4 linked regions of the Elephas maximus indicus genome follow. The protein of the gene in region 4 interacts with the protein of the main gene of each other region in a pairwise test. Links are inferred from orthologs where the notes say so. Each region holds a gene or a part of one and is shown on either strand. Other genes may lie near its edges.

Region 1 (7,892 bases), on a different chromosome or scaffold from region 4:
ACTCTGGCACATGTTCACCAGCCCCTGAATGAGGTAATACTTTGCTTCAGCCATCAGTTCCCTGATCTCTTGCCGATTTTGAGGCAGAGTGATGGTGTCATCTCGGAGGTAATTCAAAATGGTGCCAAAGTGCTTTCCACATCGATCTATGAGGATCCAGCCTAGGGATTCAGACCAGAGTTTAAGACCCAGAGAATTACTGTTTTCCTCCAGGTGTCTCAGAAACAAGCATGAGGCAAAAGGTCACTGGGTGGATCTGGTGGCAGGTGGCAAGAAAAGGAGTTACACGAACATAGGGCCCACGGCACAGTGGTGACAGAAGTGGGACCAGAACTTCCAGCTCTCAGGTTCATGGCTGCTCTTCACCCCTCCACCCTGCAACCAAGAACCGACACCTGCTGTGGGAGACACAGCCCTCCAGGCTCTGCTGAAGCCCCAGAGGTCCAAGCTCAGGAGCACTTAGGCCCACCTCTTGCAACACAGAAACCATCAGGCCCTGCTTTTCTCCTGCCCACTGCCTGGGCACTACTGCGATGGTTCTTAGGACTATAAAACAAGTATGGATCTTCTCCCTGGAAAAATGCATAAATGCACAACATTCTATATACAATTTCAAAGGATTCTGAAGCTTACAAAGGACTCCAGGTGAAGAAGTCCTATGGTAGGTGAGTTGAGACTCTAGATCTGCCAGGCTTAAGCCCCGCCCCGAAGTCACTTTTCAGGAACTCCTCCTTTTCTCTCCACCCGCTCAACAAGCCTTGATGCCTCACCTTCTTTGTCCGTCAGCACCTCCATGCGCCCACTGAACATGGCCTTGAGCATGGTGTCATGCCGAGTTAGTGCCCTCACGGTGGTGTAGTACAGGGAGCCACCTACATTGAGCTGGACGTACTTGTTGCCCAAGCTTCCACCCTTGAAGCTGCTTAGCTTGGGTTTGGCCCCTGAGGCTGGGCACAGACAGGTATCCCCCGACATCTCCCGCTGCAGGTAGATTACCACACGGCAGGAGGTAGGCTTGGAAGGCTCCACCGTGGTGGAAGGGGTCACGGGTGAGTGGCCAGTGGAGACCAGAGCCTCATACTCTCAGTTCTGTGGGCAAAAGATGTGAGAGAAGACAGGAGTCAGCAGAGTAGAGCCTGCAAACCAGAAGGGACAACAGTAGAAACACTGACCAGTCCAAGTACTCCCTGGCAGAGGCCAACTTCCTGGGCAACAGTAAGAAAGACTTCCCTGATGTTCTTTACTGTCCCAGGAACCATGCTTGGAGCACAGTTTCTCAGAGCCTGGCTCTGGTCACCTCACCAAGCGAGAGTTGAGTCAGCCTCCAGGAGACTCAGCTCAGCTCTGGGCAGCAAGAAAGAAAAGCAAGTCCTTGGAACTGGTCAGAGAGGGTCTGAGGAACAGACTGACAGCAGAGATCCTCATCCTGTGGAATCTGCCAGTCAGACTTGCTGTTATTCTGAGTTCCCAGGATCTCCGACTTCCAGCCAAACCTACTGGGAATGCAGCCTGCCTAGGAGTTTTCCAGAAGCCAGAGGGACAGGATGCACTTCCTTCCTACCAGATTCCATAAGCAGAAGCAGCCAGCACCAGTGCTTAGTCTGAGTGCCACCTGGGGTCTGGTTCCAGGAAGGAAAGTGAAAGCAGCTTTAGGAGAGAAAGAAGGCAGTGAGGCAGGTGGGAGGGTGCTGGCACACTGCTCTTGGCAGAGGTACCCTGGCTCCTGCTGGGGGCTCCTGACCTTCCCATTTCTTGACACCAGTCTTATCCCAAGTTCATGAAATTATCACTGTTTTTCAGGGTAGATCAACTACAGGATGGCTGTTTTCTTTTTTTTTCCTGAGAGGGGGCCCAGCCCTATCTTTCCCTCTCTTCCCTCTCAACAAGAAAAGGGCCACAAAAGACCAGAAGATAAATCTAAAAACAATTACGTGACTTGGAAATTGAAACTCTAACAGGAGTTCATAGGAGGGAGGAGCAAGGAAAGAAAAGGAGAGCAAAGCCAGGTCACCCCTTATGATTTAGATAATATATATACATATATATATATATACATTTTTTTTTGCTTTCTAAAAAATCAATAAAATTCATTCGCTGGAGGAAAAATGGTAATATTTGTTGCATGTTTACTATATGCCAGGTATAATTCTAAGCATTTAATACATATTAAACCCTAAAACCAAACCTGTTGCCGTCGTGCAAGTCAAACTCATAGTGGCCCTATAGGACAGAGTAGAATCGCCCCATAGGGTTTCAAAGGCTATAATCTTTACGGAAGCAAACTGCCACATGTTTCTTCCACGGAGTGGCTGATAGGTTTGAACTGCTGACCTTTTGGTTAGCAGCTGAGTGCTTTAACCACTGTGCCACCAGGCCTCCATTTAATTAACTTAGGAAAAAAAAACAACCACCACCACCAATAACAAATCCTACCTTTTGCAGTGGAGCCCTGGTGGCACAATGGTTAAGAGCTGGGCTGCTAACCAAAAGGTAGGCAATTCAAATCTACCAGCTGCTCCTTGGAAACCCTATGGGGCAGTTCTACTCTGTCCTTTAGTGTTGCTAAGAGTTGGAACTGACTTGACAGCAATGGGTTTGGTTTGGTATTTTTATGTTATGCAGCAGGGACAGAAAGATGAAGAGATTGTCATTTCCTTCAAGAAGTTGCAAGAAGCATCATAATGTCAGCAAGAATAAAATGAGAGCATTTATTGTGCCCCTACTATGAGCCAAGCCTATGAATACAGAAGAGAACAAACAAGTCATGTCCTCGCGGAGCTTACATGTTTGCATGTGTGTGTTTGTGTGTGTGTGTGTGTAACTGACAATAAACAAAAAACTAACAAATAAGCAGACAATTTTAGAAGGTGATAAATGCAAAAAAGATAATAAAACAGTGATAAGGGAAAAGCACTAATTTAAATAAGTGGCCAGGAAACTCTTTTTCGGGAAGGTGACATTTAAGCTGAGATCTGAAAGAGCATTCCAGACAGATAGAAGAATAAATGCAAAGCCTCTCAGCTAGAAACAAGTTGGACAAAAAGAAACAAGGTTAAAATGGCTGATGCACAGAAAAAAGAAGGAAGTTGGTTGAATGTAAGATCAGGAAAGGCAGGCATGAGAGTTTGGATTTTAACTGCAATGGGAATCCACAGGAGGGTTTGAAGCAGGGGAGTGAGATGATGTGGTTATGTTCTGAAAAGATCATTTTGGCTCCTGTGGAGAGAATGGATTGTAAGAATGTGAGAGAGGAAGTGGGAAGACCAGAGGAAGCAGTAGTCTAGGTAAGAGATGATGATGGCTTGGACTACCACTGTAGTAACAGAGACAGAAAAAGAGGAATTACCTCATTTAATCCTCACAACATGCAGCTTACAGTTGCTCATCGTTCCTTGTAAATGCAAACCGGTAACAGTGCCCTGGTTTCAGTTTACTGTTTTGCTCTGCAAACAATGCTTAGCACGATGCCATGCCTATTTTAAGTATTTAATATATGTTGGTTTGTTAAGACTTAAGCTGTCCCAGAAAGGATTTCTGTAGATCCCTGGGAAGAATGTGCAAGGACAGGCCAGAGCAGGTGCTGTATGAAGTACTGAATTCCTTTGTGGGTTGGTCCGGGAGGCTCTTCAATTTGCCTCAGCGATGGGACGTTGAGGAGCTGGGCCCTCACCCACAATCTGTCCAATCGGCAAGTAACAAATGGCAGGAGATCACCTTACTTCCCTAGCCCAACCCAAAGAAATAAACCCACCCCTTAACAAGTTTTAATAAGTTCCCCTTGTATTGTCTGTTGTGTCTAGACCCAGCGTTCCCAGGACCAAAGAAAGTACACATACATGTTCTGCCAAAGCAAAGGAACACTAAAGCTAAACTAGTCAACAGAGAAAGACAAAAGTCTTTGTCCAGAGCTAACCCATTCCCTTCCCTACAAAAGCAACTGCTTTGGGCCCATGAATGACGTCAGTTCAGATGCCGCCCAAACCAATGGATTCCAGGAATCCTGCGGCAGGTAACGCCCAGAAGGGAATTCCAGGGAGGTGAAGTTTCCTGCGACACCCTCAGTGCTCTTCCTTCCGGACTTTGTGTGTGGATTATTTGGGGGCGCCTTTTTTTTTTTTTTCGGGCTAGAGGCGTATCCGTGTCTCACTCAGTGAAGATTAAGGGATTCAAGCAGAATAAAGGATAAACAGCCACCGCGAATACGGTGGGAGAAGGTGGGGTCCTGAGGAATAAGGAGCAAGAAATTCGTCACACAAGGGATGGTGAGGAAAGCCAATCTTGGCAGGAGACAACGGCTTTAGGAGAAATCCTAGGTGTGAATCTTAGCCTTTATTCAAAGGGTCCTGGTGAAATTTAGCGAGCCCCAACATCTATGGGAGCCACTGTGGAGTCTTCCCCAGCCCGTACTCCTTCTCACTACCGAGACCAGTCCTGACGCCCATCCCCAGAGGAGGATTTGAGCTCTCCATCTCTCCTACGCCGTCCCTCCCCTCTCCCCCAATACCGAGCGGGCCCGTCTCTGCTCCAGCCCCTGCTCTCACCTTCCCCAGGGGCGCCGCTCCCTTCTCTCAGCTGGGTCTCTAGCAGGCTCCTGGACCGCGGCCGCCTGCCCGCCCGCAATCCCCGAGCGTGAGCTCACATCCTCCGCCCGCCGACTCCGCCCGGAGCCGCGGCCCAGCCCTGCAGTCGGGGAGCCCGAGACTACAAGGCCCGGCATGCCCAGCACGGTATCGCGGGGTAGAGGGCCGGCCCCTCCGAGTATTCTGCGGTGAGACCACAGCTACTTCCGGCAACCCGGCCAGCGCAGAGGCCTCTGGGTCTTGTAGGCAGTCATCCTTACCCTCAGGCCTCCGTTTCCCAGCAGGCTCTGTGGGGGTGGGCGGCTGTAAGTGTTTCCGGTGTCAGGTAGGGACGTCACCGGTAAACAGGCCCTGTAGCCGTGGCAGCGGCCGAGGCCGGCAGGTGGGCAGAGTACCGCTGACCCGCGAGCGAAAGTGCCGCAGACATCAGCCTGGACCGCAGCGCGCCACCGTTACGGGGCCTGCAGGTAGGCCATGACTGCGGGTCGAAGAATGCGTGCTCGGCTTCGTGCCCCCGAGGCTGGGGGCAGAGCCGGGCGGGCCCGGGGCGAGATGAACTTGACAGACCCGTGCCCGGAGGCTGTCCCGGGCCAAAAGTGACGGGGGAATTCAGCCCGACTTTTTTTTCCTTTTTTTTTTTTTTCCTTTGGGAGTTGTGTTTACACCCGGCTTAGGCCAGGAGCTTCCTACGCGTTCATGCGCGCAGTGATTTTACGAGGAAACTGGTTCAGATAAGTTCCAAGAGTTTACGTAGTTAGCACAGAGCCAGCTCCATCGCCCAGGTCTTCCAAACTTTCTGCCCAGTGCGCCTTCCTTCACACCCCACGGATGGTGTTCACTGTTGTGCCTAGCATGGCTCTGGGAGGACGGGGGGGGAGAGGGGTGAGGGGGGCACAGAGAGTGTCACAGCATCTATTTGGAGGGAAGTCAGCCCCCGCTATTTACCCTGTGTTCCCCAGATGCAGACATGGCGTGTGTGGTAGGAGTGAGGAGAGAATCTGGTAGTTGGCTGTGAACCCTCTCCCTACACTGCTTCTCTGGTCTTATCCATCTCATTAACTATCCCGTCCAGCCATTCCGTTGACTCAAGATAGAGACCTGGAAATCACGCCTCTTTCCTTCATTCACCTCCCAGCCACCACATTCAGTCAATCCATTGCCAAGTCCAATGGACTCAACTTACAAAATATCTCAAATCAGAACGCTTTTTGTAATTTCCAAGCCTTGGTTACTGTAATAGCCTACTACCTGTTCCCACAGTCATTCATGCCACAAACATTTACTGAGTGCCAATTATGTCAAGGCCCCATGTGCTCGGGCTACAGGTTTGAACAAGGTGGTGTAGCCAGCCCCGCCCTCTTGTTCTCCCCGATCCATTCTTCATCCTGACCCAGAGTTATACAGTGAAACCTGTGAAAGCCGGAACTCGACGGGACTGCATTGTTGTTCTGGGTCTCTGCCTTTGAAAGGGTGTAGTCTTGCTACTTTTTTATCGCTTATTTTAGTGGAAAATATTTGAGTTTTCCTTCTCTAACAGGTTTCTGCCTTACATTGGTTCCAGCTTTTGCAGGTTTTACTGTATTTCTAAAATGCAAGTCTGATTATGCCACCTTGCTGAGAATCCCCTGGCTGCCCATTACCCTTAAGATAAAATCCAAGTTCATCACTGTGGCTTTCACAGCCCTCCATGATCCAACTCTAGCCTTGCTATCTAGCCTCATCCTGTCCACTCTTCCTCTTGCTCATGGTGTTTCAGTCACAGTGGCCTTTCAGTTCTTGGACTGCCTCAGGTTTCTTACAGCCTCAAAATCTTCATACACGCTGTTGTTTCTGCCTGGACTGCCTCCCTTTCCCCTTCACTTGATAAACTTTTGGACATCCTTAGGTCTCAGCTTAAGTTTCGCTTTTTCGGAGAGGCCTTATGCTGACACCCTTTCCCCATATGAATTATGTCCTCCTGCTACACCTTCACATAGCTCTGTGTGACTTTCCTCATATTGTTATTATGATTTGTGATTATTTGTTTATTGTCTGTCCAGAGGTCAGTAGCTAAAGGATTTTGTTCACTACTTGATCCCCAGAGCAAGGACTCAGTAGATATTTCTGAATGAATGCATAGTCCCTGGGGAAGAGGTGCAGTGTATCAGGACAACCAGGAAGACAAATCTTTTTAAAAAGCCTGATTATAAGTAATCTTGGTATGATTAAATGTTTCAAAGGAAGATGCTACCTTACTTACTTCAGTGGATTCTAGTGAGGCCAAAGGCTCTGGGACAGAGTCATACACAAGCAGCCCATAGACATACATTAGTTGGCCCACACAGTGTTGTGTGGTTTTGTTTTTTTCCCCTTACTTTAGACACCAACACTTAAAAGTCAGATTTCATATAAAAATCCGTATTTCTGGTCCCTTGAAAATCGGAAGTGCTGGCAACAGTGGGGCTTTCTTTTCCAACCGTTGCTCCTCTTGTGGAGCCCCTGCCCCCGGCAGTCACCATCAGAATCACCCCTTCAGAACAGAACGTCTCTCAGGAAGCTAGAAGGGAACCCAGTGAGGCTGGGGGAGGTGGGAGCAGAGGGAAGGGTCTGTCGCAGGGGCAGGTGATGGCAGCCTTTGGAATACCTGGGTTTTTGGAATTGGCATAGCAGCCAGTGGAAACCCTGGCGGCATAGTGGGTAAGAGCTAGGGCTGCTAACCAAAGGGTCAGCAGTTCAAATCCATGAGGTGCTCCTTGGAAACTCTATGGGGCAGTTCTACTCGGTCCTATAGGGTTGCTAAGTCAGAATTGACTTGACGGCAACAGGTTTGGTTTATAGCAGGCAATGACTAGAATTAAGTAGTATTGCCTCCTTTTCTAGACAGGGCATGCACTGTTTCTGTTCGTTTTTTGCCTGTTTCTTAAGCCAGAACAAGGGTGAGTTTTACGTGTTTCTTCTCCCATGATTGACACATCCTTTAGCCAAAAATGTGAGGAGACCTGGGAAGACAGACACTATCTCTGTTGGTTCTCTGTTGCCTACAGAGAAAAAAAAAAATCCAAACTCCTTAGCTTAGCGTACAGTCTCATCCAGATTTGGCTCCAACCCAGCTTCTTTTCCATCCTCTTTCCCTTTATCCTCTGGGCAGGACAGGCCCTCTCGGTGACTTCAGACCTTTGTCCACTCTGCTTTCTCTGCTTGGGATGCCTTTCCCTGGCCGCCTCTGTGGTACACTCTTGCTGATTCTTCATTCCTTTTTGTGTTTCCTGCTAGCCAGGATGACCCACATTTGGGTTCTACTTCAGGCAAGTGTACAGTACCCTATAGTATAGA
Region 2 (6,987 bases), on a different chromosome or scaffold from region 4:
GAATCCTTCACTATTGCAACTCGAGGCTTGAATTTTTTCTTCACTTCTTTCAGCTTGAGAAACACTGAGCGTGTTCTTCCCTTTTGTTTTTCCATCTCCAGCTCTTTGCACGTGACATTATAATACTTTACTTTGTCTTCTCGAGAGGCCCTTTGAAATGTTCTGTTCAGTTCTTTTACTTCATCAATCTTCCTTTTGCTTTAGCTGCTCGACGCTCAATAGCAAGTTTCAGAGTCTCCTCTGACACCCATCTTGGTCTTTTCTTTCTTTCCTGTCTTTTCAGTGACCTCTTGCTTTCTTCATGGATGATGTCCTTGATGTCATCCCACAACTCGTCTGGTCTGCGGTCACTAGTGTTCAATGCGTCAAATCTATTCTTCAGATGGTCTCTAAATTCAGGTGGGATATACTCAAGGTCATATTTTGGCTCTCCTGGACATGCTCTGATTTTCTTCAGTTTTGGCTTGAACTTACATATGAGCAATTAATGGTCTGTTCCACAGTCGGCCCCTGGCCTTGTTCTGACTGATATTGAGCTTTTCCATCGTCTCTTTCCACAGATGTAGTCAATTTGATTTCTGGTTGTTCCATCTGGCGAGGTCCATGTGTATAGTCGCCATTTATGCTGATGAAAGAAGGTATTTGCAATGAAGAAGTCGTTGGTCTTGCAAAATTCTATCATTCAATCTCCGACATTGTTTCTACCACCAGGGCCATATTTTCCAACTACTGATCCTTCTTCTTTGTTTCCAACTTTCTCATTCCAATTGCCAGTAATTATCAATGCATCTTGATTGCATGTTTGATCAGCAGCTGATAAAAATTTTCTATTTTTTCATCTTTGGCCCTAGTGGTTGGTGTGTAAATTTGAATAATAGTCTTATTAACTGGTCTTCCTTGTAGGTGTATGGATATTATCCTATCACTGACAGCGTTGTACTTCAGGATAGATCTTGAAACGTTCTTTTCAATGATGAATGCAGCACCATTCCTCTTCGAGTTGTCATTCCCAGCATAGTAGACTATATGTCCGATTCAAAATGGCCAATACCAGTCCATTTCAGCTCATTAATGCCTAGGATATCGATGTTTATGCATTCCATTTCAGTTTTGACGATTTCCAATTTTCCTAGATTCATACTTTTGTACATTCCAGATTCCGATTATTAATGGATGTTTGCAGCCGTTTCTTCTCATTTTGAGTCGTGCCACATCAGCAAATGAAGGTCCTGAAAGCTTTACGCCATCCACGTCATTAAGGTCGACTCTACTTTGAGGAGGCAGCTCTTCCCCAGTCATCTTTTGAGTGCCTTCCAACCTGGGGGGCTCATCTTCCAACACTATATCAGACAATGTTCTGCTGCTATTCGTAAGGTTTTCACTAGCTAATGTTTTTCAGTACACTGCCGGGTCCTTCCTCCTAGTCTGTCTTAGTCTGGAAGCTCAGCTGAAACCTGTCCTCCATGGGTGGCCCTGCTGGTATCTGAATACCAGTGGCATAGCTTCCAGCATCACAGCAACACACAAGCCCTGACAGTACATATGACAAACTGACAGACACGTGGGGGTCTTATTCTCATAGCACATATAAATATCCAAATTAAAGTCTACCCTGTAGCTGCTTGTTACAAATGTGTTTACTTCATTATGTAGCCTGATTTAAGCCTGCTTTGAAAATATTTGTTCTTCATGGGGCGTAGTTAGATTCAAGTAAACCTAAGACCGTGGGTCAGCTTATTGATTTGTTGAAACTACGTTATTTTCTCATCAGTCACTAAGTCCTACCATATTGACAGCAATCATCAAGGGCACTAAAACTAGGATTCATTTTTAAGATTTATTTTTATTCCTACCTCTTAGTCATTAATTCAGGGATTCACATACAAAGAACAGTATCTGACTGATTTTAAATTCATACTCATCCATCAAAACCTATATAAACTATATAGATTTTTCCCCCAAAATGATTCCGGATGTTTCTCCATTCTGCTATGTTGGCAATTCTCACCTCTCACATGGAGAACTGTACAGCAATGATCTAACTAAAGTCATGACTGATTTCAGTTTCTTTCCATTAGCACATCCACGTACTACTGTTAATTATTCTTCCTATTTTCACCAAGTTGCTCCTTGGCTCAAAACTTTTCTAATAGCTCTATTTTCTTCCATATCACATCTAACATCCTTGGCCTGGTTTTCAAGACCTTCCATAAGCTACTCCTTCTCCAACTTGACATCCCATTTTTCATGTACATATCCTAACAAAGTCAACGTCATAAACATAGCAACATCAAATGCTTATAGGATGTGTGCTAGAAATTTTCTCATAAGCATTCCTATGGGATAGGTGTTAAACACTGGTTTTATATATAAATACTGAGAGATTGATAAATTGAGTAAATTGTCAAAGTATGTACCTAAAAGTGATGAGATTTGGGGTTCTAACATTTATCTATATCATATTTTTCTACTACATTGTGCTATGTTACTCATACTCATTGTGCTATGTTACTCACAACCCATGTGTGTCAGAGTAGAACTGTGCCCCATAGGGCTTTCAACGGCTCATTTTTCAGAAGCAGATTTCCAGGCCTTTCTTCCCAAGTGCTTGGTTAGCAGCCAAGTACATTAACTGTTTGCATCAATTTTACAACATTCAAAAATCCACAAGACTCTAGAGCCATCAAAGAGAACCACTAGATCTTCTTGGTATGAATACCAGCCAAAAACTTTCTCAATGAGCTTCATTTTCTGCAGTTTGTGTTATGAAAACGATGATTATTTTTTCAACTGCAAACATAAATGCATATTATAATAACTAGTTATTGTTTATTCAAACCACACCAGCCTCCCAACCCCAGCAAATTATTACACTTGGAGAACGTGTCCTCCTCACCCCTGAACCTGACTGTGTGCTCCTTCAGGGCAGGAGCCATTACATGTTTAGAGTGACAATGTAAATTCATTCATAAACCAGATTTATTGCTTTTAATAAACGAGGCTCTAAGGTAGGCCCTAAGTATGCAAAAGGTTAAAAAAAAAAAAAAAAGACTCCCAGTCCTCAATGTCGAGTACATAAGAGTCCTGGGTAAATCCTTACTGGAGGTCGTCAAATTAACCAGTGGTTTTGTTTGTTTAACACCGAGGGGGCCTAGAGGCACGTTTGAGAATGCGAAGAAAGTACTGGGAAAACTAACCCCCCAGAAAAACGTACAAACACACAGAATTTTGTATAACATGACAAAGGGGTTATGAATTGTTCCGAAGCCAAATCGCCTACCACTGGATACAAAGACCCCGGTTAAAAACCCCAAAAGAAAACTCAGTTCTCTGGGGACAGGAATTCTCCTACTTGCTTGACAATCCTGATTTTGTCTTGCACGGTGCCATGTATACAGTAGCCCCTTAATGTTTGCCGATCGATAAAAATAACCAAATGACACTAGCAAATTGCTTCTTCCGTTGCGGAGCCCTTTTGTCAAATAATTTGAAAAGCCCGAAACTCCCTTTCACTAATAACATTAATGACCTAACCCCAATAACTCGACAGTCATTACCTTGCTATTCCCACATGGCGTACACGAGCAACCACTAATCCAGGCTCTCCTCTTCTCCTGGCGCCCCCCGCCCCCCAAACTCTGGGCTCCTCGGTACCCCAAAAGCTACGCCCAAAGCCCCTGTACCCCAGGGAGACAGACTGTAACAGGTGCTCCGTGCCACACGCACCCTCAAAGCAGGAAAGGTGCTGGCTACAACGAGGAGCCCTTTCCTGGCCGCGTCCGGAGCTGACGAGATTTACCTCAGGTCCCAGTGAAGCGGAGGAGACTGGCCTCACAGAGCCTGGGCAGTCACCATAGTGACGTCTCCCAGCAACGCTCCCCGCCTTCCCGCGATACTTCCCCCCGCACCGCACGGCGCGTCACGGAGCCGAGCCGAGGCCCCGCCCCGCAGCGCGCCCGCCCGCTCCTCAGGGGGCGTCGTTGGACGTTGAGCCTCGCCTTCAGCTGTGGGCGGAACCCGACTCTATTTTTTTTTTCTCTTTTTCAAAAACCGCCACGTTTTTTAAATGTGGTGTTTATAATAGTGCTGCTGCTACTGGCCGCTGGGTAAACATTCCCTTCTCCTCCGTTTTCACTTAGGACGAACGTCCCCTACCGCCCGGGGTCCGCCCGGAGTTTGCGCTTGCGCAAGAATGACCAGAAGATGGCGGCGGTAATCGCCGCACTTTTTTTCAAATTAGTGGATCCCAGAAAGCATTGCGCGCGTTTGTAACGAATTTCCGTTCGAGTTTGTATTTTAGGCGCCATTTTCGAGTGAAGCACCCGGAGCCGAGACACCGGCAGGAGCGCGGTGGGCTCCGCAACCGTCTCCAACCTTGGACTGGCCCGCAGGTAAAGTACTTCCTTTCCCGGCCGGGTGGTCGGATCCTTGGCTGCCGAGCGGCCCGGGGCGCCCGGAGAGCAGAGGCCGGGAGCCGGACCGCGGAGCCGGTCCCGAGGCTCCGCCGAGCGGCTTCCCCGCTGTCACCCCTCCCCCCCCGGCCGCTCCCGCGGTCCGGGCCCCGCGCGCTTCTCCCGAGCGCGGCGCTCAGCTCCGCGGGCGTCCCCTGGGCGGGCTGCCGCCTGGCCGGCCGCTTCTGCGGGGAAAGCCGTGCCCCCGGCCCGAGCCCGGCCCTCCGGGCGCCCCCGAGGGACTGGCGGCCGCCTCTGAGCCTTCGCTGGCGACCCTTCCCGGCTGACTTCCGTCTAACGGCGCTCGGCCGCGGGCCGTCCTGAGGAGGGAATCGCCGCCGCCGACCCAGCCCTCGGCCGCCCTTTCGGGGTCGCGCGGGGAGGGGAGACGGCGAAGCCCCCGAGCGGCCCGCGGCGGCGAGGGGCTCCCTCCTGGGTGGCCTGGGAGGGCCGGCGGCCGCTCGGGGCCGAGGCGCGCTGCTGCCTACGCCGGAGAGCGGGCACGTCCGTCGGCGTCGGCTGCGTGTGGGGTCGGGTCGTCGGCGAGTTAGTTTGTGCGGCTACACTGGGGGCGCCCCGGGGCCGAGGGTCCCGAAAAACCTGGAGGGTTAACTGGCTGGTTCCCGGGCACGTCTGGGCTTCCCCACCTGCCCAGGTCTTCCTGAGAAAACCATCCCGCCTTCCTGCCCTTCGGTTTTATTGTGGCTTCTTCCCCGACGGAGTTGGGGGTCGGGGAGCGGCGGGCTGGGGGTATGAGGTCGGGGAGCGGGGGTCGGGGGTCGGGCAGCGGCAGGCTGGGAGTATGAGGTCGGAGAGCGGCGGGCGGGGTATGGGGTCGGGGAGCGGGGGGCTGGGGTCGGGGGTCGGGCAGCGGCGGGCGGGGTATGGGGTCGGGGAGCGGCGGGCGGGCTATGGGGTCGGGGAGCGGCGGGCGGGCTATGGGGTCGGGCAGCGGCGGGCGGGGTATGGGGTCGGGGAGCGGCGGGCGGGCTATGGGGTCGGGGAGCGGCGGGCGGGCTATGGGGTCGGGGAGCGGCGGGCGGGCTATGGGGTCGGGGAGCGGCGGGCGGGCTATGGGGTCGGGGAGCGGCGGGCGGGCTATGGGGTCGGGGAGCGGGGGGTACGAGGTCGGGGAGCGGCGGGCGGGGTATGGGGTCAGGGCTGGGGGCGGCGGGCGGGGGGTACGAGGTCGGGGAGCGGCGCGCGGGGTACGAGGTCGGGGAGCGGCGGGCGGGGTGTGGGCTCAGGGCCGGGGCGGTGGGAGCGGGGCGGGGGGCCGAGCCGGCCCGCCTGGAGGAGGCCGCCCCCGCCGCGGGCTGACTGGCTCGGGCTCTCCCCGCCCAGCCACCATGCCCCGCAAAGGCGCCCAGCCCTCCACCGCCCGGCGCGGAGAGGAGCCGCCGCGGTCCCCGGCCGACGCCAGCCCCGACGCCGAGCCCGAGCCGCCGTCCGGCCGCGCCGAGAGCCCGAGCTCCTCCGCCGCGGGTGAGTGCGGGGCCCCGGGACGGGCGGGCGTCGGGGGTCGGGGGTCGGGGCCGGGCCGTCGACGGCCGGGAAAGCCGCTCCGGCGCGGCGGGGACGGGGCGAGCGCGTAGCTCGGCGTGGGAGCCGGTTGGTGGCGGCGCGGACGCCCGTCCCTGGCGCGGCGGAAGTCGGCACGGCCGGCCGAGGGCCGGTGGCCGTTCGCGGGCGGCGCCGGTGCCTGGTCTGTGACCCCGCGGGCACGTCGCGGGCCCTCGGCGCGGCCGCGTGGCCTGAGGCACCTGTGGCAGAAGGAAGGAGGCGCGCGGCCCGGAGTCCGGGGCTGAGGCGCGCGGGGAGCCTCCCTGGGCTCAGGTGGAAAGGCGGGGTGCCGCGCCCCGAGGTCGGCTCCCTGCGCTAAGGGAGGCCCCCTGCCTTGCCTCCGCCGACCTAGAAGCGCCCGGGGAGGACCTCGACAGCCGAAGTTTAGAAGAAATCCTGGGCAGCGTCCCTCCGCCGCCGCCTCCGGCGATGACCAATGAAGCCGGCGCTCCCAGGCTGATGATAACGCACATCGTGAACCAGAACTTCAAATCCTACGCCGGGGAGAAAATTCTGGGACCTTTTCACAAGGTATGTGCCCCTCTTATGTAACTGCTGTTAGCGGAGGTATCAGTTCTTACATGATCTTTCCAGTGTTTTTAACTGTTTATTCTGAGCCACGCTGAGTGATGTGTTTATCGTGTATGTGCATAGATAAATATCGAGTGTTTCTCATGCTTCAATATCTGAAACTAGCTTTTGTTTATCTGGATATCTTTAATACCTCATTCCATATAAAGTTTCTTCACTAAGAAGAATTGATTAGTTTTTTGTTTGAAAGGAGTGTTTTCCTTAACTACAAAAATGAATTTCGTAAAAAAAAAAAAAAGTGGGTTACAGTTAGAATATGGTCTCTAGGTGTGAAAGCTTGTGAGAGAGGAAAACACTTTAAAAAAAAACTTAAAAGTTGAAGTTGGGTGTCTTCAAGCAATGAAAGCTTGTAAACGTGTGTAGTTTTACTTCAGATAAAAAA
Region 3 (7,847 bases), on a different chromosome or scaffold from region 4:
TACATTTAGGATTGTTAAATCTTCTTGAGGAGTTGACCCTTTTATAGGTTTGAAATGGCCCTCTTTATCCTTAACACTCTTTGTCTTGAAGTCTACTTTATTTGATAGTAATATAGCGATAGCAGCCCTACGAGTCTGGCTTGCTCAGTGCAGTGGCTTCTCTAGCCCACTGCCCACACGTGGTAGTGTTGGCCGGGATGACTGAGCCTGCTCTGTGCCGTCCTGAGCTGAAGGAGGCTGCCTTGTACAGCATCGCGTACACCTGGCTCCTCTCCTCTGTTCCCCAAGTTCCAACAAATCTCAGAGTCTGTCACGGGGAAACTTGATTGTGACACATCATATATCTTTTTCTGTGCTTTTACTATCAGTCTATCTTTACATTTAAATTGCATCTTTTATAAACAGCATAAAGTTGGATCTTACTTTTTATCCACTATGACCACCTCTGCCTTTTAACTAGAATGTTTAATGAATTTACGTTTAATGTAATTTTGACGTGGTTGGGTTTTAGTCTACCATCTTGCTATTTGTTTTCTATTTGGCCCATTTATTTTTTCTTTCCTCAATTGCTGCCTTCGTTTGAATTACTTGACTATTTTCTCTATTAAATTTAATACCCTCTATTGGCTTTCTGGAAACCCTGGAGGTGTAGTGGTTAACTGCTACGGCTGCTAACCAAAGGGTCAGCAGTTTGAATCTGCCAGGCGCTCCTTGGAAACTCTACGGGGCGGTTCTGCTCTGTCCTATAGGGTCGCTATGAGTCGGAATCTACTCGATGGCACTAGGTTCGGTATTGGCTTTCTAGCTATATATTTTGTGTTATCATATTTAAGTGGTTGTTCTAGGCATTACAATATGCATAGTAACTTACCACAGTCTCACTTGTATTAGTTATTATACCACTTCCCCCACGATGGAAGTCTTTAGAACACTTTACTGCCACACCCACTTCTTGGCCTTTGTGCTACCTTTGTTTGTTACAAACCCAACAATGTGGGGTTATTATTTTTGCCTTAAATAGTCATTTGGATTTTAGAGAAATGTATTATCTGCATTATCTCTGGTATCATTTCTTTTCAGCCTCAATAACTTTAGCATTTCTTGTAGTACAAGTTTGTTGGCATTTTTTTGTTTGTTTCAACATTTTAAGGATGCCATTCTATGCAGTCATTTTTGTTGTTGTTGTTCTGTATACAGTATCTCTTTTTTTATCTCCCTGCTTTTTAAGGTCTTCTGGACACTGGGAACAATAGAGACATACTCGCAACTGTCAAGACAGACTTTGAGGAGACAAGTGCGCAGTGCGGAGTCTGCCGTGGAACCTACTGCTGGGATCTCAGTTCCCACGTACTGACTAGAACGGACAATCCTGACGTAAATTGAGAAAAGCAAGATATGGACTATATACAACGCATTTTTAATAAAACATAAATATATTTGTATACAAGTATATAAATTTATGTGCCTATTTTCATAAATGAAAGACTAAAATCAAAATATAAACTGAATTATTAATAGAAGTTATTTGGGGGATAAGATTACACTTTTGTTTGACTTTGTTACAATAAGTATATATATTACTTTTGTATTAATAAAAAGATAAACACAGAAGGTGATACATGCATTGACGGCATGTAAGAACGAGGCTGTACACAGACGAGCATGGTGGACTCCACTCGTGTGTGTATGTGTGTGTGGGGGGGGGGGGAGTGGTCACAGAAAGCCTGTAAGAGGAGATGAGATATGAAGGGCAGAGAGTTAAGACTCAGGTTACAACCTAGCCTTGAGCTGAATTTGTTCTAAAGAAGTGTTTTGTATAAAGGATCCCTGGGTGGTGCCAAGGGTTAAGCGCTTGACTGCTGGTCACAAGGTTAGGGGTTTGAACCCACCCAGAGGCACCACAGAAGACAGGCCCAGGCCAGGTGATTTGCTTCTGAAAGGTCATAGCCTTGAAAACCCTATGGAGCAGTTCTACTCTGCACACATGGGGTCACCATGAGTCGGAATTGACTTGATGGCAACTAACAACAATGATAAATATATGTATAAATATAAAACTGTCAACCTGTGATGTATAATTGTGAATGCTGGGGTGAGAATGCCTATTGGGCATCTGAAGTCTGAAAGAAGCCTATGGGACTTTATAGTCTGTTGAGAGATTGTTGCTGTGTGCCGTTGAGCCAATCCTACTCATAGTGACCCTATATGACACAGTAGAACTGCCTTGTCGGGTTTCCTAGGCTGAAACCTAGAAGCAGATCACCAAGTCTTTTCTCTTGCAGAGTGGCTGGTGGGTTTCACCCACTGACCTTTTTTTTTTTTTTTTTTTTACTAGTCAAGGGCTTAAGCATTGCACCTTGTTAAAACATTAGGCTCCTAAAAAAGGAAACACTCTCTTGGTAATTACATGGGTGTTGATTGTACGGGAGGACTTAATCCAGACGTCAGGGCAGTGTCCCCATCAGGCCCCTGCAGTGCAATAGGCTTCTCTTTATATATGGCCTTTCTGGTCCTGGGTTTGTAGTTCTGCCAAGATTATTCGCTAGGCCACAATCTTGCAAAGAGATTGGACAATGTACTATGCAAATAAGATGTATAAAACCCTTGTGGAGATTGGTCAATTGCTAAGCAAATTAGCTGACTATGGACTACAGAGGGGATTTGTCAGTTTGTGGTCTTGGTAGGGGCAGTAGGCTTATAAAAGGGCTAATCCCACAGGGACTGAGAGGAACCTCACTATCATAAAGATAGAGAGCTTGACACTGGAGATGGCCGTCTTGCACTGGCAAGAGATGGCGTGGCAGCAGCAGGAGCCACTGCAGTGAGATGGCTGGAAACTGGAGACCAGTGTGAGATGGCTGTGGTGGGGTGCCTCAGGGCACTTGTCGGCTGAGCTAAAGAACTGTAACACTTGCAAAAGCAGGCAGAGGCTGAGAGGAGGCCAGGCCAGCAAGGAACCACGAGCTGTCTTGGAAACAGTCCTGGTCCCCTCCTACATTGTTCCTGTTACTTCCAAGTTAATCCTGTTCTTGAATGGCAGCCTGTTACTTCTCTAATACACCACATAATGGTGAGTATGATCTGTGAGTTCTGTGCGGCCACTGCAACAAATTATGGAACCCAGGAGAGAAGCAGAGAGGGTGGGGGGAGGGTAGTGGCAGCTGGTGTCAGAACTGGTGAAAAGACTGGAGGGTGGAGATATGTCTGACCTCCAACACACAGGAATCAAAGGAATCAGCCTGGGGCCGATGGTGATTCCTTATCCTCCCTGAAGTTAGAGGACCTATGATGCTAGCTTACAGCCCTGCTCCAGCTGTGACATGCTTAGTGATTAGGCTCTGCAGTCTTAAACAACAGTTTGTGTATATGAATGTTGGTAAATAAAATCTGTTAAAATGAGAAGACAGTCTACGCTGTCAGGTTCTGATACCTGAGGCAATGTGAAGCAGTTTCAGATGATGCCAAAGGTGTAGCACGCACAAGCAGGTCGCTGAGGTGGATTTGAGAGTTCACCTATGAACAAAAGCTCAAGGTGTTGGATGAATTAAGCACACAAACATTAGAAAGTCTTAAAATGATAGCAGGTGTTAAGAGTAAATTTGAACTCTTTGGGAACCCGTGTCTTCCACGAGGCTATGCGTTTCTTTTATGGGCAGGAATATTGTTTTACTAAGTGTACCATCTCCAGGGTACTGGCATTTAGAAACAAAGGTTGTTGTGTGAATACATGAAAATACACAATTTCAGTGAATGAAAAACTAAAGGCAGGTGACAGGAAGATCCGTGTCTTACTTTATTGGCGTGCAACATCTGGGCCTTGGGAGCCTATCTCAAGGCACTTTCCCTAAAGTCTCCAGGGAAGGGAAGAACCCCTTCCTCCCCCGCCACCGAGCAGTCAGAATATTGGGCACTAAATATATAGAATCCTAATACAAATGAGGAGCCCTGGTGGCACAGCGGTTTAGCGCTTGGCTGCTAAGCCAAAGCTCAGTGGTTTTAAGCAAAGATGTCACTTTGAGGACTAAGGTGCGCCTGACCCAAGCCATGGCCTGTGAAAGCTGGACAAGGAATAAGGAACACCTAAGAATGATGCCTTTGAATTACGGTGTTGGCGAAGAATGTTGACTATTCCACAGATCGCCAAAACAACGAGCAGATCTGTCCTAGAAGTACAGCCAGAATGCGCCTTAGAAGCGAGGATGGCGAGACTTGGTCTCATGTACTCTGGCCATGTTATCAGGAGGGACCAGCTCCTGGAGAAGGGCATCATGCTTGGAAGAGGGCCAGCAAAAAAGAGGGAGACCCTCAACGAGATGGACTGACGCGGGCTGCAAGAATGGGCTCAAAGTGACCACCACTGTGAGGATGGCGCAGGACCAGGCATGGAGCGACGGCGCTTCACAGGGATCAGAAGTACTGAACAAAACTACATTATCCTTTAGGGGCCACCTCAGGCCCCCGCAGTTCCACCCTTCTCCCAGCCTGGACGCCGTTCTCCGCTGGGGGGCCTGGCACCCTCTCCGCCTGACTTCGCAGCGTCGAGGCGCAGCTAAGCGACGGGCCAGGGATCCCAGCAGGAGCCCAGCTAGTCCCCGGAGAAACCTCCAGCCAGCGCCGCCCCCCAGCGCGCATGTGCGGGCGCCTTGTCCCCTGCGGCCCCCCGTAGGGCCCCGTCAGCGCGCATGTGCGGCCGCCGTAGGGTCCCGTCAGCGCGCATGTGCGGGAGCCTTGTCCCCTGCGGCCCCCCGTAGGGCCCCGTCAGCGCGCATGTGCAGCCCCCCCCTCCCAGGGTCCCGTCAGCGCGCATGTGCGGGAGCCTTGTCCTCTACGGCCCCCCGTAGGGCCCCGTCGCGAGCTCCACGTCGGCCGCGCAGGCGCCCTGGGCGCACCGTTCACCTGCTGCCGTTGTCGCCGCCGCCGCCGGGGCTGGATGGGGGGCCGAGGCCGGCCGGTGGCACCCGGGAGGAAGAGACGCGGCGGCGGCGACGCCGACACCTGTGGGACGAGCGTCCCGCCCTGCCTGCGAGCCCAGGGAGGAGGCGGCGAGGCCCGGCCCCCGCAGCCCCTGGTGTAGAGAGGTGACTCCCCGGCGCGCACCCTCAGGTCTCGTTCACGCTCGGGACCCCGCGCTGCGCCATGTTCAAGAAACTGAAGCAGAAGATCAGCGAGGAGCAGCAGCAGCTGCAGCAGGCGCTGGCTCCGCCTCAGGTACGATGGCCGCCGCTCTCCTTCCCTGGTGCCCGACGCCCCTTGACCTGGCTCGGGGGTGAGAGGGAGGGCAGCTCCGTCCTGATCCCTGACCCTGATCCTAGGACCTCCCCAAACCCCGGGCCGGGAGGGCGCGCACGGAGACCCGGGTCCCCTCACCCCTGAGCCCGGCGCCGCCCTCGCGGCACTCGGTCCGGGAACGAGGGGGCCGGGCCTGGGACCGGGGCTGGGGCGGGCGGGCCCGAGCTGACAGCTGAGCTCCGTCGGGGTTCCCTGATGCCCTAGGCCAGGTCCCGGCTCCCTGGACGACCCCTACCCACCCGAGGTCCCAGCTGGTGGGTGAGCGCGGAGGGGAGTCCCTTCTAATGGTTGCTCTCCGAGCCGGCGCCCCTCTGCCATCCCCGCCCCGAAGTGACCCACCGCGCGGGCGCCCTCGCCCCCGCCCCCAAGCCCGGCCGCCCTCGCCCCCAAGCCCGGCCCCGCAGGGAGGACCGGGGTCGCGCCCTCGGTCCCAGGCCCCCGGCAGGAGCGGGGACGTGGGGAGGCGGCGGTGGCGGGCGTCCAGCGGCCGAGCCGGGCACCAGGCGTCGCTGCGCGGAGCTGGGTCGAGCCCGGCGCGCCCTGAGCGCGGTGCTCCGCCTTCCGCCTCCAGCTTCCCCGCCGGCCTGCGGCCCTGCGCGCTTTGCTGCCGTCTGCGGGTGCTCCAGGCCCGAGGCTGCAGGAAGCGACCGTTTACGGGGCAGGGGGCAGCTTGGCGGCTTCGGGAAGCAGCCCCCGAAGTTGTCAGCCTACGCGTTCTGACGCGTCAGCACGTGATCTCGGAGGGTGCTGTCGGCCGGGGCGCCGTCGGCGGGGCTCCTGCCGAAGTTCCTCGAAGGCCTCCTTCACCGATTGCGCAAACCTTTCTTTCAGTTTTAGGGTTTCTGGTCGCTAGGAGTCGGAATCGACTCCACAGTAGCGAGTTTGGTGTTTGGTTTTGGTCTTTGTCTAGGAGTCCTGGTGGCGCATTGGCCCAAGCGCTCGGCTGCTAACTAAAAGGTCGGTGGTTCCAATCCACCAGCGGAGAAAGACGTGACAGTCTGCTTCCGCGAAGATGACAGCCTTGGAAACCCTAGGGGGCAGTTCTGCTTTGTCCTGTAGGGTCGCTGTGGGTCGGACTGGACTTCACAGCTGTGGGCTTGGTTTTTGGTCTTTGCCTGCTGTTACAATAAAGCATGAGTTTTGACTTAATCGGTGGCATTTTTAATAATTTTTTGACATAACATTTATTTTGTGTTGAAGCAGCTGTTGCGCTGAGTTTATTCTGAGACGAGTTGGAAAATTGTTCTCTTAAAATTTAGTTTGTGTGGACTAGAACAGTGCTTGCGAAAGACATTGCAACGTGGCACCGAAGGTCTGCTCATTCTTCCAAGTAAAGTGCAAATAGAGATCAAAACTTAAATAGTAAAGATTTTCATTTTATGTGATTTACTGTAGACTTTTTAACTTTACAGGACGCTTAAGAAAAATGAGGCAGAGATGGAGAGGGAAATGGACAGGTTAGTGAATGTAAGGCAGTTAACATTTGTAAACGTGCACGATATCACTGATCCACGATGTCACTTCTAGAAATTTATTCAAAGAAAGTAATTTAGGATGTATTAAAACACAGCTATGTAGGTTTTCATTTCAATGTTAGGTAGAAGCTTGCTAAAAATGTCCAGCAGTTCTCGAACAAACCTATCGGGTAGATAATCCCGTCCTTCCTCTTTTATCCATGGGAAAACAAGGCCCAGAGAATTGAAGTAGCTTGCCCAATGCCATTCACCCATTGTTAGAAATCACAGGAAACTTGGTAACACAGAAAGATGTTTGTGTTAGTAGCCGCACGTAAAAAGCCACATGTAACACGTGATCACAGCTTTGTGGGAAAACGTGTCTATATGTGAGTTTACATACATCCTTAGTGAAAGTATTCAGGAAGGAGATGCCCTTACGGTGCTCGTGAGCCATGAGTGTTCTGTTCCTGACCTGTAATGTTAGTTTTTTTTCATGAAAATGAATTGCTTTTTTGCAGTGGGAAGAAAGGTGCTTAGTAGTAATAACAGTAAAGGTAGTCACAGGCCAAGGTAGAACTCCCTGTTTCTTCAGTTTAGTACTGTTGCATTGGCTTATCTTTAGTGAGAGGGTCATCGGTATCAAATAAAACACTTTGTGTCCAAAGGTTAAAAATCCTCTTTGATATGTTCACATTCTTGAATATATGTGTATTTACCAAGAAGTAAAAAATAAGTTGTCAATCACCTACTGGTAGAAACTTGGTTCTGTTCTGGTCCTAGGTCCTCAGCTATTCCCAGCCCCTCAGGAAAGAAAAGTTCCGGATAATTGTTTTCAGAGAGTTAAGGATTTCTTTCAAGCACTAACTAAAAAACAAAAACAATACGAAACAACAACAACAAAAAATGCTTTTTTTTGCAACAGATTACATACATCCTTTCCTAAGCAAAGGATCTCGAATGTGTATGATATTCTCTTCTTCTGACTCGGGCATCATTTTTGAGGATAAGTTATTCTTTGTTGGAGGCACCATGCCCTCTGGATTTAATAGGGTTTGAGAGGCAGTCCCGTTTTACCCACTCCAGAGGATTGGTCTGATCCTG
Region 4 (7,941 bases):
TATTTTTACCCAAGTAGAGAAATCGTTTTCGATACTTAAAAAAAAAAAAAAAAAAACCCGTTGCCATCGAGTCAGTTCTGACTCATGGTGACAGAGTAGAACTGTGCTCCACAGGATTTTCTTGGCTGTAATCTCAATGGAAGCAGATCGCCAGGCCTTTCTTCCATGGTATTGCTAGGTGGGTTCAAACTGCTAACCTTTAGGTTAGCAGTGGAGTGCAAACACTCGTCCCCACCTCGTTGTTGTGGTTGTTAGGTGCCATCAAGACAGTTCCAACTCATAGCAACCTATGTACCACAGAACAAAACACTGCCTGGTCCTGTGCCATGATCACAATTGTTATGCTTGAGCCCACTGTTGCAGCCGCTGTGTCAAGCCATCTCATCGAGGGTCTTCCTCTTTTTCGCTGACCCTCTACTCTACCGAGCACGTAGAAGACAAAGCAGACCAGTCAGTCCTGATTCAGAACACCTTGCTTCTTCCACACAACGTGTCCACCTCGCCAACCAGTCAATTCTTCTCGGAATTCTTCTGCTCTCGTTTCCCATTAGGATGCTCCAGTCACACCAGAGAGGTTCAGGAACCCGCAGTGTACTGAGCACGTGGCAGCCCTGACAGGCCCTCTGCCGCCCTTCTTCGGGGCTACATTTTTGTTGGGGAGACAGACCAACACGGAGGATGAAAGGGTAGACCAGAGGCACCCGCAGTATTGTCCGTGCTGCCGGCTCACACCTGGCTCACCCCTACTTGCTGCCCCTCGGCTGAGGGCGACACAGGGCAACCGGGACACAGCATGCTCCCACCCAACTCTCAACGCAAAGTGCAGGACAGGCTGGGAGAGAAGCACCGGCTGAGCAGAGGAGGAGACCAATGCAGGCAGCACTTGGGGTTGGTTAGGATCTGAGAGAGGTTTTAGGCACTGTAGGGTTTTTAAATGAGGCACTCCTGGGAGGCACACGTGATCAGCAAAGGCGAGATGGCAATGCAAAGTCTGGGGAAGAGTAAGGTGACCAAGCAGTGGGAGTGAGGGAGAAGAAAAGCGAGAGGACCAACAGGCCCGGGGATAAGGGCTAAAAGCCCCCAAGTACAACCTGACTCCTGATTCCCAAGGAGCACACCCTCGTCCAATGTCTGCCCACAAGTCCACCCTGGAAACAGGCGCTGCCAGCCCCCACATACACCCTCCCCCAAGGGTTACTAGGAGCCTTGACCAATTCCATTCAACGAGCCAATGTTTGCTGCACAGCCTCTGTGTACTGTACCTTACTCGTGGCAGCTCACCCAGGATATGCCAACAGAGAAGTTCCAGTCTCCGTGGTTCAGGAACTGACAATCAAGAGGGGAAAACCACCCCCACCTGTCAGTTTGTTGTACTGCAGTGGCTTGTGCATTGCTATGATGCTGGAAGCTATGCCACCAGTGTTTTAAATACTAGCAGGGTCACCCACGGTGGACAGGTTTCAGCAGAACCTCCAGACTAAGACTAGGAAGAAAGGCCTGGCCACCTACGTCCGAAATTAGACAAAGAAAATCCTGTAGATCACAACAAAATATTGTCTGATACAATGCTGGAAGATGAGCCCCCTGAGCTGGAAGGCACTTAAAATACTCAACAGTGGACTTGGACATACATACCATTGGTCACGAAGATGGCACAGGACCAGGCAACATTCTATTGTGTTGTACACGAGGTTGCCACGAGTCGGAGCCAACTTCAAGGCAACTAACCATGATGACAACCACAGCACGAAAAGGTACACAGCCAGCCAGTATCTACTTAAAGCAGACTTATCACCAAGCAGTAAATTCCTCCACTAGTTTTTCCTTTCAGGCCTCCCTACGACCACCTCCAATAAATTCACCAGCAGGTATTTACTAAGCTTGCAAAATGTGGTGACTGCTTTGCCTTGCACTGTCGACGGGCACCTAGAAAAAGAACTCCATTTTCTCAAGGTTTACTGAGCACTTTCCACGTGCAAGGCCTTGCAGGACCCCAGGAGGAAGGCAGCAGGCCCCTCCCGAGCAGGGGAGGGGAATCACCGAGACAAGCGTGGAGGACCAGCCCTAACTAGACACCGGTAGGCAGGAAAGCAGAGTGCTCCCCAAGGGGCCGGGAGGATGGGTAAGAGGAGAGCAGGGGCGAGGGCAGCAACTCTCGCAGAAGGCTAACAACAGCTTAGGCCCAGTGGCCGCCCCCCGCTGCAGGCCAGGCCAAAGGCCGGTCTCCGCGGGCAGGAGCCCCGCAGAGCAACGCCAGGCGCCCGCTGCCACCCAGCCCCGGGCCGAGCCCCGACTCGCATCTCCAGCCCGCAACCTCGGCCCTGACTCCAACCCCAACCACTCGCCCTGACCTCGACCCCCAGCCCAGGCGCCGATCCCCGGCCGCAAACTGCACTCCGGTCCGCACCCGAGGCCCGACCCGACCCCTGGCCGCGCCCCGGCATCGACTCCGACCCGCACCCCCACCCCAGCCCCCCGGCTCCCAGTCCGCACCCGATCCCGGCCAGCACGCTGACCCCGGCCTGCACCCCGACCCCGGCCAGCACGCTGACCCCGGCCCGCATCCCCCACCCCGGTCCGCACCCCGACCCCGACCCGCACCCCCCACCCCAGCCCCCCGACCCCGGATCCGCACCCCGACCCCGGTCCGCACCCCGGCCCTGCCCCGCACCCCGCACCCCGACCCCTACCCGGATCCGCACCCCGACCCCGACCCGCACCCCCCACCCCAGCCCCCCGACCCCGGATCCGCACCCCGACCCCGGTCCGCACCCCGGCCCTGCCCCGCACCCCGCACCCCGACCCCTACCCGGATCCGCACCCCGACCCCGACCCCGACCCGGCGCCCACCTCCGTGATGATGTCGTGCAGGTAGCGGAACGGGGGCTTGCTCAGCAGCTTCTCCGTCAGCGGCGGCCTCCGGATCACCTTGCCCAGCGCGTCCTGCGTCCGCCTCACCACCGCCGCGTTCATGGCGGCGCCCGCGCGAGGCCCGCCCGGCCCGAGCCCCGCTCCCGGCCCCCGGCCCCGGCCCGCCGCCCCGGCCGCGCTCCCGGCCCAGGCCCCGCTCCCGGCCCCGCTCCCGGCCCGCCTCGCCGCGCCGCCCGGCTTCCGTCCCACAGTGCACGGCGGCCGCCACTGCGCGTGCGCGTCGCGCCCTCCGTCGCTAGGGCAGCGCGGCCTTAGCAACCGACGCGCCGCCGCCCCGCCCGCTGGACCCGCGCGGGGAAGCCGCCAGGGGGGCCTGTCCGGGAACAGCGTGTTCTCCGGGATCCGTGTTGTCTGTCTCACAAAAGGCACGGGCGCTCGTAGGCAGGTTCATGGGAGGGGCTGGACTGAAGTATCCCAAAAGACACGGAAGAAAAATGCCCTCGTCCATCTGTCACTTACTGTGGCTTTTCGGACAGGTAACTTGCTTTCTCTGAGACGCCATTTGTTTCCGTAAAACAGGGACGATAATGTGACTGTCTGCCTTACCTACCCCCCAGGATCGAAATCAAACCAGTTACCATCAAGCTGACTCCAACCCATGGGGACCCCGTGTGTGTGTCAGAGTAGAACTGTGCTCTCTAGGGCTTTCAATGGCCGACTCTTCAGAAGGAGATCGCCAGGCCTTTCTTCAGAGACACCACTGGGGGAACTCCAACCTCCAACCTTCCAGTTAGCAGCTGAGCGCTTAACGTTTGCACCACCCAGGGACTCCACCCAGGATGGTGCAAAGGGAATGACCTAGGCAGGGAGACCCCATGGAGGCCCTGCTGTGCACCGAGGGCACAGGCCTGACTGCCCACTTTGGCACTCATGGCTATCAGAGACCCGCAGCTGAGGCGTATCCAGGCATCAAGGTGTCTGAGAGACACTAGCAGCATCCAGGACAAAAGAGCAGAGCACCAGACCCCTCGGAGAGACTGACGGGGATTGACCAGGGAGTGGACCATCCTCTGGGAGCACAGATTCGCTCCAGGCCCTGCTGTCCACTGCGTCGTCCTACGTGAGTCCACTCCTCCACACAAGAGGGCACAGGCAAGGCTGAGAAGAGGCAGCCAAGGACCCCAGATGCAAGAAAGACACCCGGAACCAGTACTCAGTGGGGGCCAGAGGGAGGGGCTGGCTGGGAGGGCTGCCTAGCCTAAATTACCTCCCAAGCTCCTCAAAGAACCATGAAAGCACTGAGGAAAAAGGCTGAGAATATAAAAACAAGTTATTCATAAAAAAGAGAATCAGCTGGATGACTGTAGAAAAACACAGACAGAATGTGTTTGACAAATAAAAGCCTGGCAGGGGAGGCTTTGGAAATCAACAGTTTCTGACTGAATGCATGAAACAACCATGGCCATGACTCAGACAGGGAGAGAGAGCCCCACGAAGCCTTGTCTCCAGGCCTTGCCTCCCCAAGCCCACCCGACAGGGAGGCAAACATTCCCAGAGACAAAGGCCTGAGGAGACTGGCTTAGCCCAACCCTGAGCTCCTCATCTGCCCAGGGCCCAGGATATGGGTCAGCTTCAGGGAACGCTGGGCAGCAGGGACCAGGCACGGGGAAAGAGTGGCCACCTCGCCAGCCCTGGACCCGCAAGAGCAGCAGAGAGTTACTGCTAGGGTTGCCAGAGAAAATACGGGACAACTGGTTAAACTGAAAACCCAGACAAACATCAAATAATTTGTTAGTATAAGTATATCCTGTTTAGGATATACTTATACTAAAAATTTGGAGCCCTGGCGGCTCAGCTGCTAATTGAGGGCTTTAACCAAAAGGTCAGTGGTTCAAATCCACCGGTGGCTCCAGGAGAGAAAGCTGTGGCAGTCTGCTTCTATAAAAATTACCTGAAATTCTATTGGGCAGTTCTACTCTGACCTACAGGGTCGCTATAAGTTGGAATCTACTTGATAATAGGATTTATACTAAAAATTTATTCCTTCTTTATTTGAACTTCAAGCTTAACTGGGCATCTTGTGCTTTTGTTTGCTACATCTGGCCACCCCAGCTGTGGCAGCAAACAAACGCCTGTTCACTGGGGCCTGGAAGCCCCTCGGAGCCAATTTCTCCCACAGGTGGGAACCATCTCCTGTGCCTGCTGCATCCAGCTTTGGGGTACAAATCAGGTCGCCGCCCTTCGAGTGTCTGTGTGGCCATCCCTGAATCTCCCTTTCTGTCTGGCGTAGGCTGGAGGAAACACACACAGCAAACAATCACACTGGAAGTTATTATTCAAGCCTAGGGAGATGCCCTGCCCTTCCTCCCACCAGGCCCTTCCCTGGGGATTTCCATACTTCACACCTTGCAGAAAAGGGTTGGGGGTTTTGATCCCATCCTCTCCCCACAAAAGGCCTTTGAGCAATCTATGTCATTTTCCCAAAAATTTTTAAGCTGTGCTTGTAGCAGCTTCTCTTGCAGGGAGGGGTGTAAGTTCTGCCTCACGAAGCACCTTGCGGGGCATCCAGACTTTGACGACAGAGCCATTGTAAATGCTGCAAACAGGTAAGCGGAGCCGGGGGACCCGCTTGTTTGCCCACCAACGCAGGCCCAGCCCACTGCTAAGGTGGGGACCCAGTGAGCCCGCACCGGGAGGTGCAGAGGAACCCCAGATGTTTTCAGGGAGCCCCTAACCACACTCCTGTTGACCAGTCTCCACTCTGACCCCAGGCACACAGAGCAAATTTTATTGTTGTTGTTATTATAAAGGCCAGGGTATTTAAAGCCTGAGAAATGTTCTCGTAGCTTCAGCAACCAGCTCTCAGGAGGCTATAGCTTGGCTATAGCTGATACTGTCCCTGCCCACGCAGCCCCTAAGCCCCATTCTATGACTGGAAAATGTCTATTTTATGAGTCTTGAGGGGGTGAGACTGCTTCCCATTTTGGGAGCTGAGAATGGAAAGGATTATTGTCCCAGCCAGCCTTGCACCGGGGCATGTCATGTGACCTGGGTCCACCAATCACGCACACACCTGCACCAGACTTTGCCTCAGGTGCCAACAGTGCAAGAAGACAGGGGCCCCGAGCTCACTCTCACTGTCTGTCTAGCTGAGGGTGGGGCAGGTGCAGGTTTAGCTGCCGGCCCAAAAGTGACCATGGTCCAAGCTTACCTCCAATGCAATGTGTTCTAGGGCTCTGCTGCTAGCAGTGCTGTCTCAAACTGGGCCTTCCAGGCACCAGATTCAAGCAAGGATGAGGAGACTTTGTCTTACGTACTTTGAACGTGTTATCAGGAGGGACCAGTCCCTGGAGAAGGACATCATGCTTGGTAAAGTAGAGGGTCAGTGACAAAGAGAAGACCCTCAGGAGATGGATTGACACAGTAGCTGCAACAATGGGCTCAAGCATAACAACGATTGTGAGGGTGGCGCAGGATCGTGCGACGTTTCCTTCTGTTGTGCACAGGGTCGCTATGAGTCCAATGCGACTCAACAACACCTAATGACAGCAACAACAAATGTAGGGAAATATTTTGTTTTATACTCACATGAGAGAGAACAACCTTTCTGAACAGACACACGGACACATAGAGGACTTATAACTTCAGCCCTTCAGCTTCATCCATAGATCAAAAATAAACACAAAAACCCAGCAGTCCAGATCTCAAATAGCTGTCCTCCCACCCAGTGGGCATGAAATCTTCATTGATTTGACTCACAAATAGACAAGCAGGCAAACCAACAAGAGCAGCAATGTGGATTCTCTGCCGTTTGTCACCCACAGAAGATTGGTCTCCACCATCTACACAGCAAATAACACTAAATGGTCAGATCACAGGACCAAATCCCCATCATAGTGCCACCAATGATAAATGACTTATTGGCCAGGAGTGAAACAGAAATAAAAACAAAAAACACAAAAGCAGTAGGAAAAAAAAAGAGAATCAGTGAAGTTAAAGTTCTTTTGCTGCTTGGGTTCTCTCCAGGAACCAAGAGGTGCCCAGGTTTAAATGGCCCACGAGGTGCACTTCTCTGGCACCACAGGTTACTTGGCTAGGCAGGGGAGTACAGCTGGGCATCTCAGGGGAAACTCCAAAATGATCGAAGTGTAATTTTCCAAAAGGTAGAGTCAGGACTCTCCTGCAAATATAAAATGACCACTTGTGAAAGATTTTATTCAATTCATTGAATTCATGAGGAAACTAGTAAGATGTTAAAACCAGCTCAAAGAATGCTGAGAAGCCAGGGATGTTGGAGAAGGAGGGACACCCATGTGGCTGGAGAGAAATGAGTGACAGAGAGAGAATAGAGGAGGGAAGGTCTGTCCATGCAGCCCTTGTAGACTGAGGTAAGGACTTTGGCTTTTACTGAGTGAGGTGAGAGAGCTGGCTTATGTTTTCAACGCATATGTTGTTGAGGACAGACTCTCAGAGGTAGGAAACAGAAAGACGAGTTAGGAAGCTATTGCAGTGGTCCAAGCCAGAGGTGATGGTGGCAACAGCATTTTCTGGGTCCAAGAGAGCAACCGATGGAAGACAGTACTCCGCAATAATCATCAACCTTGAGTAATTGAGGGTGTTGGGACACTGAGACTTACGTCTCTCTCCGCCATCTTCCCAGGCTGATGACTGGACATTGAAATGACCTTCCAAGGTAGATCCTGGAGCTTACAAGGACAGTACTTGCAGTGAACTCCAACACCCATCATCTTTTTGTCTGTCCAGAATGTGATGACAACACCCTTTCCCTGGCTGCCTGCTCCATTTCTCTTCAATTTATTTCTCAATAAATCATAGCTTTTAAAATCAGAAACAAAAGTTGAAAATTAAGTTGTCAGAGGAGACTCCCACGTAAGGAGAACTGCAATATTGAGATGGCTTCTTGGAAAACAGAGTCCCAGGTGCCCATTAACATACAACCTTCTGATAGGATCGTTGATGAGACGGGTTTACCAGGACTAGGGAGCCCTCCCTGGATCCACAGTCAAATTATCTGTCATCTGCTGCAGCCTTTACCACCTGTGTGGCTTC

The links.
Region 1: the proteins of TRAF3IP1 (region 4) and IFT20 interact in a two-hybrid assay, tested with the Homo sapiens proteins (2 studies listed by IntAct). The link is inferred for Elephas maximus indicus from reciprocal best matches to the Homo sapiens genes TRAF3IP1 and IFT20.
Region 2: the proteins of TRAF3IP1 (region 4) and SMC4 interact in a two-hybrid assay, tested with the Homo sapiens proteins (2 studies listed by BioGRID and IntAct). The link is inferred for Elephas maximus indicus from reciprocal best matches to the Homo sapiens genes TRAF3IP1 and SMC4.
Region 3: the proteins of TRAF3IP1 (region 4) and GOLGA4 interact in a two-hybrid assay, tested with the Homo sapiens proteins (2 studies listed by BioGRID and IntAct). The link is inferred for Elephas maximus indicus from reciprocal best matches to the Homo sapiens genes TRAF3IP1 and GOLGA4.

Annotation. Positions count from the first base shown.
Region 1 is NC_064837.1:23,671,454-23,679,345, forward strand, and holds the start of IFT20 (intraflagellar transport protein 20 homolog), read left to right. Parts: upstream 1-4,882; 5' UTR 4,883-5,047; intron 5,048-7,892. Other genes in the region: TNFAIP1 (BTB/POZ domain-containing adapter for CUL3-mediated RhoA degradation protein 2), read right to left, coding at 1-161, 771-975. UniProt on the Homo sapiens protein: Part of intraflagellar transport (IFT) particles involved in ciliary process assembly. May play a role in the trafficking of ciliary membrane proteins from the Golgi complex to the cilium.
Region 2 is NC_064841.1:323,253-330,239, reverse strand, and holds the start of SMC4 (structural maintenance of chromosomes protein 4), read left to right. Parts: upstream 1-3,985; 5' UTR 3,986-4,391; intron 4,392-5,795; 5' UTR 5,796-5,800; coding exon 5,801-5,936; intron 5,937-6,366; coding exon 6,367-6,545; intron 6,546-6,987. UniProt on the Homo sapiens protein: Central component of the condensin complex, a complex required for conversion of interphase chromatin into mitotic-like condense chromosomes.
Region 3 is NC_064845.1:2,971,604-2,979,450, reverse strand, and holds the start of GOLGA4 (golgin subfamily A member 4), read left to right. Parts: upstream 1-4,834; 5' UTR 4,835-5,136; coding exon 5,137-5,208; intron 5,209-7,847. UniProt on the Homo sapiens protein: Involved in vesicular trafficking at the Golgi apparatus level. May play a role in delivery of transport vesicles containing GPI-linked proteins from the trans-Golgi network through its interaction with MACF1. Involved in endosome-to-Golgi trafficking.
Region 4 is NC_064824.1:140,402,465-140,410,405, reverse strand, and holds the start of TRAF3IP1 (TRAF3-interacting protein 1), read right to left. Parts: upstream 3,001-7,941; 5' UTR 2,974-3,000; coding exon 2,851-2,973; intron 1-2,850.